Xenopus tropicalis: one gene and its partner. The protein of the gene in region 1 interacts with the protein of each later gene in a biochemical or structural test. Links are inferred from orthologs where the notes say so. Each region holds a gene or a part of one and is shown in the gene's direction. Other genes may lie near its edges.

Region 1 (5,460 bases):
CTGTATAACAGAGCATTCTGTCACAGTGGCACAGATCCTATCTGATCCCCCCCATTGTAAGCAGCAGTCCTGCCCTGCTTTATGGCTGAGATTCTAGCTATCTGTATAACAGAGCATTCTGTCACAGTAGCACAGATCCTATCTGATCCCCATTGTAAGCAGCAGTCCTGCCCTGCTTTATGGCTGAGATTCTAGCTATCTGTATAACAAAGCATTCTGTCACAGTGGCACAGACCCTGATACCCATTATTTCCCTTTAGAGCAGGAGCTTGAGGATAAATTAGCACAATGACCAAAACAGAAAAGGATAACAAAACAAATTAAACACCTCTGTAGTATTTATTTACTTCATTACAAACAAAAAAACTTGAAATGATCTGCAACAGAAGTTCCAGCACTCTCTAAAACAGCATTTGAAATGTAAAAGAAAATTAAATATAAGAAACAATTGGAGATATTAGCAGATATATTTACAATAACAAGCAAAGAAATTGTTTATAAAAAGACAAAGTAGCTTCTGTTTGTATCATACAAAAAAGATGTCAGAATACAAGTCATTTCCATGACTTGTATTGTAATAACACACGTAACAACACATGTACAAGCAGCAGTCACAGCCCTATCCTTATCTTTTTGTATGATACAAACAGAAGCTACTTTGCCTTTTATGTGTGTGTGTGTGTGTGTGTGTATATATATGTCCCCACTATTTGGCAGTAGTGATGATGCTGGTGGAGCCCCAGTAGTTCAGTATAACAGAGGAAGGCTGTGGGGCATCAGGAGAGGAAGGCTGGGGGGCATCAGGAAAGGAAGGCTGGGGGGCATCAGGAGAGGAAGGCTGGGGGGCATCAGGAGAGGGAGACTGGGGGGCATCAGGAGAAGAAGGCTGGGGGGCATCAGGAGAGGAAGGCTGGGGGGCATCAGGAGAGAAAGGCTGGGGGGCATCAGGAGAGGAAAGCTGGGGGGCATCAGGAGAAGAAGGCTGGGGGGCATCAGGAGAGGAAGGCTGTGGGGCATCAGGAGAGGAAGGCTAGGGGGCATCAGGAGAGGGAGACTGGGGGGCATCAGGAGAAGAAGGCTGGGGGGCATCAGGAGAGGAAGGCTGGGGGGCATCAGGAGAGGGAGACTGGGGGGCATCAGGAGAGGAAGGCTGGGGGGCATCAGGAGAGGGAGGCTGTGGGGCATCAGGAGAGGGAGACTGGGGGGCATCAGGAGAGGAAGGCTGGGGGGCATCAGGAGAGGAAGGCTGGGGGGCATCAGGAGAGGAAGGCTGTGGGGCATCAGGAGAGGGAGACTGGGGGGCATCAGGAGAAGAAGGCTGGGGGGCATCAGGAGAGGGAGACTGGGGGCATCAGGAGAGGAAGGCTGGGGGCATAAGGAGAGGAAGGCTGGGGGGCATCAGGAGAGGAAGGCTGGGGGGCATCAGGAGAAGAAGGCTGGGGGGCATCAGGAGAGGAAGGCTGGGGGACATCAGGAAAGGAAGGCTGTGGGGCATCAGGAGAGAAAGGCTGGGGGGCATCAGGAGAGGAAAGCTGGGGGGCATCAGGAGAGGAAGGCTGTGGGGCATCAGGAGAGGAAGGCTGGGGGGCATCAGGAGAGGAAAGCTGGGGGGCATCAGGAGAGGAAGGCTGTGGGGCATCAGGAGAGGGAGACTGGGGGGCATCAGGAGAGGAAGGCTGGGGGACATCAGGAGAGGAAGGCTGGGGGACATCAGGAGAGGAAGGCTGGGGGGCATCAGGAGAGGAAGCTGGGGGGCAGATTAGGAAGGTGACCCGACAGCACGGTGCAGGGCAGAATCCATCCGCCTCCCATGTGTTTGTTATGTGTGCCTCCAGGCAGCAGGCGGGGAATCGCTGGGGTAACAAGGAATAAAAACAGCCAAACAAGCCAAAGGCGCCCTCTTCCTGCTCTTTCCCTGCTGGGATCCTCCTCCCGCCGTCACATGCCAGCAGCCTGCAGTCATTGTCCCCGCCTGGGCACCATTGGCTCATACCGCTGCCGTGTAGGAGTTAATAATGACCCTCTTATGGCCAGAGGCTTCCCCCCAGTGTCTGTGTAGCTCCTCCCTCCGCTCCTCCCTCCCGCACTACTTCCCCGGTCCCCCCGCTTGCATCACCGCCTGGGCTATTAATAGAATGACGTCAGGGCGGGCCACATTCCTCCGCTCTCCGTGCGCGGCTATATAAAGGGGTGATGCAACTGCACTGCCACAGCTTCTCCCAGTCAGAGCGGGGGAGGCACACGGGCAGCCGAGTAGTACAGCCAGCGGCAACGCTTCTCCCTCACTTCCCACGGAAAGAGCACGGTAAGGACCGGGGAGGCAGAGCCTCGAACGGTACAACTTTCTCTCTTCCTGAGTCCCTACTTCCCCGCCGGGCAGGCTGAGCCGCAGCGCTTACTCCTCTACTTTCCTCTAGCTTGTTGTGTAACCAGCCCGGTCCCAACTCCGGGAAACTTCCCTACTCTGCTGCCGGAGCGGGACTCGCTCATTGGCTCTTACAGGGGCTTTACTTTGTGCCTGGGCTGCTTACTTACCCTTTATTCCAGCTGTGGGATAACTTTCCTTATGTATAAATCTACCATCATATATATATATATATCTGCCATTTCTCCCATTTATATATATAGTTTTGCTTTACTTTGTGCCTGGGCTGCTTACTTTCCCTTTATTCTTTGCTTATTCGCTGCCTGAGTTTGGGCAGTGGCCCCTGAGCCCCCCATTTTATTCCCTGTGTTACACATGGGGGAAAATGTATAATTTTATCTTTGGAGGGGATATAACAGTATTGCCTGGGACTTATCGCTGTGTGATAACTTTACTTATTTATAAATCTACCATCATATATATATATATAAATATATATATCTGCCATTTCTCCCATTTATATATATAGTTTTGCTTTACTTTGTGCTTACTTACCCTTTATTCTTTGCTTATTCGCTGCCTGAGTTTGGGCAGTGGCCCCTGATCCCCCCATTTTATCCCCCACACCGGTCCCTGTGTTACACATGGGGGAAACTTTATAATTTTATCTTTGGAGGGGATATTACAGTATTGCCTGGGACTTGTCGCTGTGTGATAACTTTACTTATTTATAAATCTACCATCATATATATATATATATCTGCCATTTCTCCCATTTATATATCTCCAATATGTAGTATATGTTTCATTTATATATCATCTTTATCTATATATCTCCTGTCATCTATATAATCCTATTTATATTTTTCTTTTTAACACTATATTATAATTTTTATATCATTAACTATATATTGTACACTGTCATTTATCAGCTATATATCTGTCATTAAAATATCTCTCATCATCAATCTCAGCATCTCTATATTTCCCATTTTGTCACATCATCAATGTATCTCACATTATAGTTCATCATCTATAGATCTCTTATTATCTGTATATTTTCTATCTTTTATATATGTGTCATTAACTATATATATATATATATATAGTTAATGAAACATATATAAAAGATAGAAAATATACAGATAATAAGAGAACTATAGATGATAGTTTTAATAAGAGAACTATAGATGATAGTTAGTTTTATATATAAATATATATATATATATATATATATAAAACTATCATCTATAGTTCTCTTATTATCTGTATATTTTCTATCTTTTATATATGTTTCATTAACTATATATATATATATATTTATGTATCTGCTATGTATCTGTCTATCTTAATATAACTCTCATTAATTGGATATCTGTCATATCATACGTATAGCTCCCATCTTTTATTTATTTCTCATTATTTATATCCTGTCTGTATATCTCATGTCAGCTTTATTCTGTCATTATATATCTCCCATTATCCACGTATCTCTATATAGTCTCATTTATATATCCCATTTTTATATTTTCATTTCTATATCTCATATATATATATATATATATATATATATATATATATATATATATATATATATATCCTCAGGTGTATATCCTCTATTATCTCTATATCTAGCCATATATATTTCTCATTTACCTATGTCCCATCATCTATATATCTTCTGTAATCTGTATATCACTCCATGTCTATATATCCACGTGTAGCTGTTCATCTAGTTGAATGCCTGTTTTATTTCTCTCACTCTTGTATCTGGGTACCTGTATCTCTTGCAGTCTCTTTACTTTCCATCTGTCTCTCTCGCTCTCACTGTGCCTCTCTGCTGTAGGAATGGGTTAGTATATGTGTATGACCGTGAGTGCCCCGTTGGGATGGTAGTTGTGAGTGCAGTTTAGTTGAACTTTTCCCTTAAGCTCATTATTGTTACATTGGAGACAAAGGGAGATCCCGGCAGGCAGAGAGTTTGGGCTTTGCCCTCTGTATGAAGAAGTGAAGGGCCAGTTGGCTGTGTGTGTGGGAGAGGCAGCCCAGTTCAGTGCCCGGCACACCCAGTACCAGTACACACATAACCTCGGGCTGCCTTTGTCCCGCGCTGGGAGGTTTCAGTTGCAGCCTGGTGATGAAACTGCTGCCTAATACTTTCACTTCTCCCTCCTGTGTCCTGTGTACGTACTGGCCTCAAGGTGGCGGTACATTCCAGCAGGAACAGCACACTCAGGGTTCCGGCAGGAATTCCAGCTGTAGGATTGTGGTTAGAGCTGAGGATCTGGCAGCTGGAGCACCGGCTCTCATGGGCAGCACATTACTGTGCTTTAGTAGCTGCATTGCCAACAGTTACAACCAATGTATCAACAGTTCCAAGAAGTATAATATAAAGATAGGAGAATATAATATTATAGTATAATAGGTACATTTTGATTGTTGTTTGTCTACCCCTTTAATTAGTTGCTGCTTGCAATGGGGATCAGATAGGATCTGTGCCACTGTAACGGAATGCTCTGTTATACAGATAGCTAGAATCTCAGCCATAAAGCAGGGCAGGACTGCTGCTTACAATGGGGGGATCAGATAGGATCTGTGCCACTGTGACAGAATGCTCTGTTATACAGATAGCTAGAATCTCAGCCATAAAGCAGGGCAGGACTGCTGCTTACAATGGGGGGATCAGATAGGATCTGTGCCACTGTGACAGAATGCTCTGTTATACAGATAGCTAGAATCTCAGCCATAAAGCAGGGCAGGACTGCTGCTTACAATGGGGGGATCAGATAGGATCTGTGCCACTGTGACAGAATGCTCTGTTATACAGATAGCTAGAATCTCAGCCATAAAGCAGGGCAGGACTGCTGCTTACAATGGGGGGATCAGATAGGATCTGTGCCACTGTGACAGAATGCTCTGTTATACAGATAGCTAGAATCTCAGCCATAAAGCAGGGCAGGACTGCTGCTTACAATGGGGGGGATCAGATAGGATCTGTGCCTGGTGACAGAATGCTCTGTTATACAGATAGCTAGAATCTCAGCCATAAAACAGGGCAGGACTGCTGCTTACAATGGGGGGGATCAGATAGGATC
Region 2 (4,886 bases), on another chromosome or scaffold:
TTATCTTTTTCGCCAGTAATCCCTTGTGTGCTACTAGCAAATTTAATGTACTGAGCATGTGCAGTCAAGACGTCCAGCTTATTAATAAATATAATCTCTATTAAAATAGTGTCTGTTCCTTTTCATAGTCTGCATGTTGTTTCTGACTTTTGAAGCAATGTAACAAAAGCGAGCTTATTAACAGATCTGTGAATAAAGAACAAAGCATTATGGGAGCTGGAATCAGGGCAGGAGGAGAGCTGACACTTGGGACATTATGTAATAAAAGGTGCTAACTTTGCCCAGGGGCAGTAACCCATAGTAACCAATCATGTATGTATGTATGTATATCTTTATTTATAAAGCGCTACTTATGTACGCAGCGCTGTACAGTAGAATACATTAATACAAACAGGGGGTTAAAGATAATGGATAAATACAAAGTACAACAATAAATACAAATAAATACAAGGTACAGTTGCAATAAGAGTCAGGAACAAGATGAACGAGGTCCCTGCCCTGTAGAGCTTACAATCTATATGGGAGGGGTAACTAACAGACACAAATGGGCAAATGTAAGTGCTGTAGGTCACAGTGTGTGACACTACAATATAAGTGCCAATCAGCAGGAAGCATTCACTGGTCACTTGTTTCAAAGCAAAAATCTTGGTTGCTATGGGTTACTGCTCCTGGGCAAAGTTAGTGCCTTTTATTACATATGAGGATGGTACTCTGTTTCAAGAGTCAACCATTGAACATGTGGAATTAAAGTTGCTTAGGATCAAATTTCCTTAATTATGCAATAAATATCTTTGGATCTAGTTCCCCTTCAAATATTACACTTCTTCCTTTGTAAGTGATCTATTTCCCTGCTCCTCCTCAGAGGGCCTCTGCGCAGCTGGGCCCCCTGATAATTACATTCTCTTTCGTTTGCTAAACCTGGCCCTTGGTGTTATAGAACGGAACAGATACAGTATAAACAGTCTATTGTAGTATATAACACTGCCGGGGCTAGCGAACCAAAGCGTACTAGAAATATATTAACAAAACAAGTACCAAATACAACCACAGATTGCTGTCAGTACCGGCAAATCCCAGCGACTCGGGCCGCCAGGCACTCCCTGTACACGTGTCTATAAATATCCACTGACGTCTCTACTTAGGCGAGTTATTTCTTTTTTTTTTTCTCTCTGAAAAAAATAGGGGCATGTGACACACTCGCCGCCCAATTAGGTTCTGCGTAGCTCTTCGAGCCACAAAAGGGTTAATAAATGACCTCAACCCAGCCTGCCTCGCTGCCTACAGGACACACCCACTATGCAAACGAAGGAATATCTTCACGTCATGGCGAACCAATCTCTTGGTCGGTAGGTGACATCATGTTGATGAGGAGGGTATATATATAACTTAACTGGGAGCGATACAGTTTAGTGTATAGCGAAAGACCGGAGGGGGTGAGCGTTAAGGCTTTGTAAACACTGAGGAGGCGCCTATCCCGTTACTGGCATGATTATAGGAACAAAGAGCCTACATTAGAACCAGCCCAAAACCTGGAACTTTACCAAAGCAAAGGACTTTTCATACCAGTTATAACTGAGGTTCTCGAAAACTGACGGAAAGAACGTTTTGCTGCGACGCTGGTAGCCGTGATAACAAAGAGGGATCCTGTCAGCTGAGGGGACACGGACGCGCAGGACTGTAGTATCCAAAGTTGCTTGATGTCTCTCTCCGACACTGGATTATTTTCTACGTGGTTTCTATTCTTGCAATGAAAGTCCAAGGCGGCATGTCACACTTTTAAGACGAGGGAGCGGGGACACACAGACCCCCTTCGGGACTCGGGAGAGGGAACAAAGGCTCCTTGGAGTGATTACGCTGCCCCATTACTTTGGAACAAAGTCCCGTAGTCAGAGTGGGTGGCAGAAGGAAGCCTTAATTCCTTTCGGCCTTTCTCCTTTGCCAAAGCATCAGAACTTTTGGACTAAAGTCAAGGGGTGTAGGCAAGAAGGGGTACACTTTGTGTCCTTTGCGCACCCACTTCTACTTCAGTTTGCGTTAGGGGATGATGGAAATACCCTTCTATCATGATGATGTGTTGAATGTTTCTCAGGCTCCCCTCTACACTTCTCCTTTTAGCGCTATGATGAAAAAGGATCTGAACCTTAACCTGACTGACCAGGTTGTAGCTAATTTAAAGCCACACCTCCGCGATGGGGAGCTGCTGACCTCCCCTGATCTTGGGCTACTAAAGTTGGCTTCTCCTGAGCTGGAGAGGCTTATCATCCAATCAAATGGCATGGTCACCACCACACCTACTACTAGCCAGTTTGTGTACCCAAAGGTGGCTAGTGAGGAACAAGAATTTGCAGAGGGCTTTGTGAAAGCATTGGAAGATCTTCATAAACAGAATCAATTGGGGGTTCAACCAGGCAGTTTGGATTTAAGCTCAGTGCCTGCTGGATCTAACCTTCAACCTCCATCAACCTCTGATGCTCCTGTCTATGCCAACCTTAGCAGCTACCCCAGTGGGGTTATGGGAACCACTGTCAATTATAGTACTGATACTGTGCCATACCCACCACCTCCATCAAACATGATACAGCAACCAGCACCTCCACCACCCAGACTGCAGGTTCTGAAAGATGAGCCACAGATTGTACCAGAGGTTGCCAGCTTTGGGGATAGTCCACCAATGTCCCCTATAGATATGGACACACAGGAAAGGATCAAAGCAGAGCGAAAGAGGCTGAGAAACAGGATAGCAGCATCTAAATGCAGAAAGAGAAAGCTTGAGCGAATCTCCAGACTAGAGGAAAAAGTGAAGAGCCTTAAGACACAGAACACTGAGCTGGCATCTACTGCTAACCTGCTGAGGGAACAGGTGGCCCAACTAAAGCAAAAGGTCATGAGTCATGTCAACAGTGGCTGCCAGCTTCTGCCCCAACAGGTCCAAGCCTACTAAGCACTGGATCTTTTTCAACTATTCAGACCTATCCATTGCTTTACCTTACACCTGTAATAATTGTATTCCAATTTTGAGAAGCTCACTAAGTAAATTTAGTTGGGACTTTGTCATTTTTGTAAAGTGTATCAACTCAAATGACCAAAGACTGGAGGGTGGCCCATTACTTTGGGAAGCATCAAACCACTCCCATTACTACTGACCATAACCAAATAGTGTCATCTAATGTAGGGTGACCATTAAAAAAAAAAGTAAACACAACCAAGGTGGAGGAGCACGGTGTTGCAATGGTGTTATGGCTGCAAGTTTCTTATTGAGACTGATACTTTTGAGACACCAGTGTTGCTGCAGTTTCTGTTTTGTTTGTTTGTTTTTCCTCATGTAAACAATCTTGATTTGCATAGTACAGACAGATTTACCAATTAAACCCCATAACACCAACTCTAAGGAAGTTTGAGGTGGCCTAAGACAACAGTGACTACTATTAATCTAGAGTGCATACATATCAGGACTTACAGAATGTTATTGTGGGTTAAGGTTTTGTTCCCTAGACCCTAATGACACTGCTCACTCCAGTAATATGTTCTGTCTTGAGCTGTACAGACAAGTTTGTACATGCAGTAATGCTTATATCCAGAACATGTTTGAGACAAACTTGGTTGGATGTTAATGCCAAGTGCAATCAATGCTGATTTATATATAAACTGCCTTAAATGTTTACAACGTTTCAAAAGCAGATGACAGAATAGGCTACGGTAACCTGCACTGAAACTTCTTAGCTACTGAACTAATCCACACATACAGGAATATCCAGTATCAAAGAAGTTAAAGTGCATGAGTGCACTATGTCTGCATCTTCTATGCTGAGCTATAATTTGTATGATATGTAAATGTATTTTACAGAACTTTTGTTTGAAGTGTTCAGTTTGCTATAATTAAGTTATACTGGGAACAATGTTTTCAAACTGTTTTTTTACTACACATTCCAGTATATACAGTACTCCAGTGCTCTTATATATAATAAAGTATTGTTAAAATGAGTTGAGTTTGCTTGGTGGTGTTCCTATGACATCTCTTAGGCCTGTCTTTTCACAAGAACCTCATAAAAAGGTGCAGTTTTTTAGAATTCTGTTATCTTATGTATATTTCCATTTGGTAACAAAGGTGCATATTTCATATCTGGGTAAGAGGTAAGCTATAAAAAGATCAGTGTGTGTACTCAATAGCACACAGGATGGTTGGAAACTATTGCTTTATTAAATGACAAGCAATTTTATTCTAACTAAATAGTAAGCTATCCCTTTTGATATTTTTTTTCAGTTAACTATGTCTGTGCCCCATCTTATCAGTACAGTATGTTACATTTTTAAAGTTTTTTTATCCTCAGCTTGCATGATTGTATTTTGTATGAGTATTACAGTGCAAATATTCACACACATGTGTTAAGAGATGTACTGTCCTCACACAAACTGTGTAAATGTCAGTTTCTTGTGCTTCATATTTACAGTATTTTACAGTATTGGATATGAAGACTGGTCAGTTGTAGCTTTTAACTGTATGACTGGTATATGTGTGCATGTTAGTAATTCATAATTAAGCCCAGGGATTGGGATACCCACAAAATTAAATAAACCATTCTGTGGTCCTTGTAATTATTTTACCTGCTCTACACAAACTGTCCTTAGATCAAACCAAAATGTATTTTATATTGGACTACTCACTGTGGCTTATTATCAGTGGAAAAATTACACCAGGGCAGTAACCCATTTTAACCAATCACATTTTTGCTTGCATTGTTCTATCCACAGCTGGCTAAGAAAAGCTTATAGCTGGTTGGTTACTATAAGTTCCAGCACATGTGCAATTTTTCCTAGTGTGGATAAATGAGCCCACTGTGCACAAACGGTTGACATTCAGATTTTTAGCTATTGCATCTTACTAAAGG

Evidence for each region.
Region 2: the proteins of atf3 (region 1) and jund form a complex in vitro, tested with the Homo sapiens proteins (2 studies listed by BioGRID and IntAct, with this or other methods). The link is inferred for Xenopus tropicalis from reciprocal best matches to the Homo sapiens genes ATF3 and JUND.

The regions. Positions count from the first base shown.
Region 1 is NC_030681.2:14,462,804-14,468,263, reverse strand, and holds the start of atf3 (cyclic AMP-dependent transcription factor ATF-3), read left to right. Parts: upstream 1-2,141; 5' UTR 2,142-2,305; intron 2,306-5,460.
Region 2 is NC_030677.2:103,484,131-103,489,016, forward strand, and holds jund (transcription factor jun-D), read left to right. Parts: upstream 1-1,395; 5' UTR 1,396-2,041; coding exon 2,042-2,941; 3' UTR 2,942-3,981; downstream 3,982-4,886. UniProt on the Homo sapiens protein: Transcription factor binding AP-1 sites.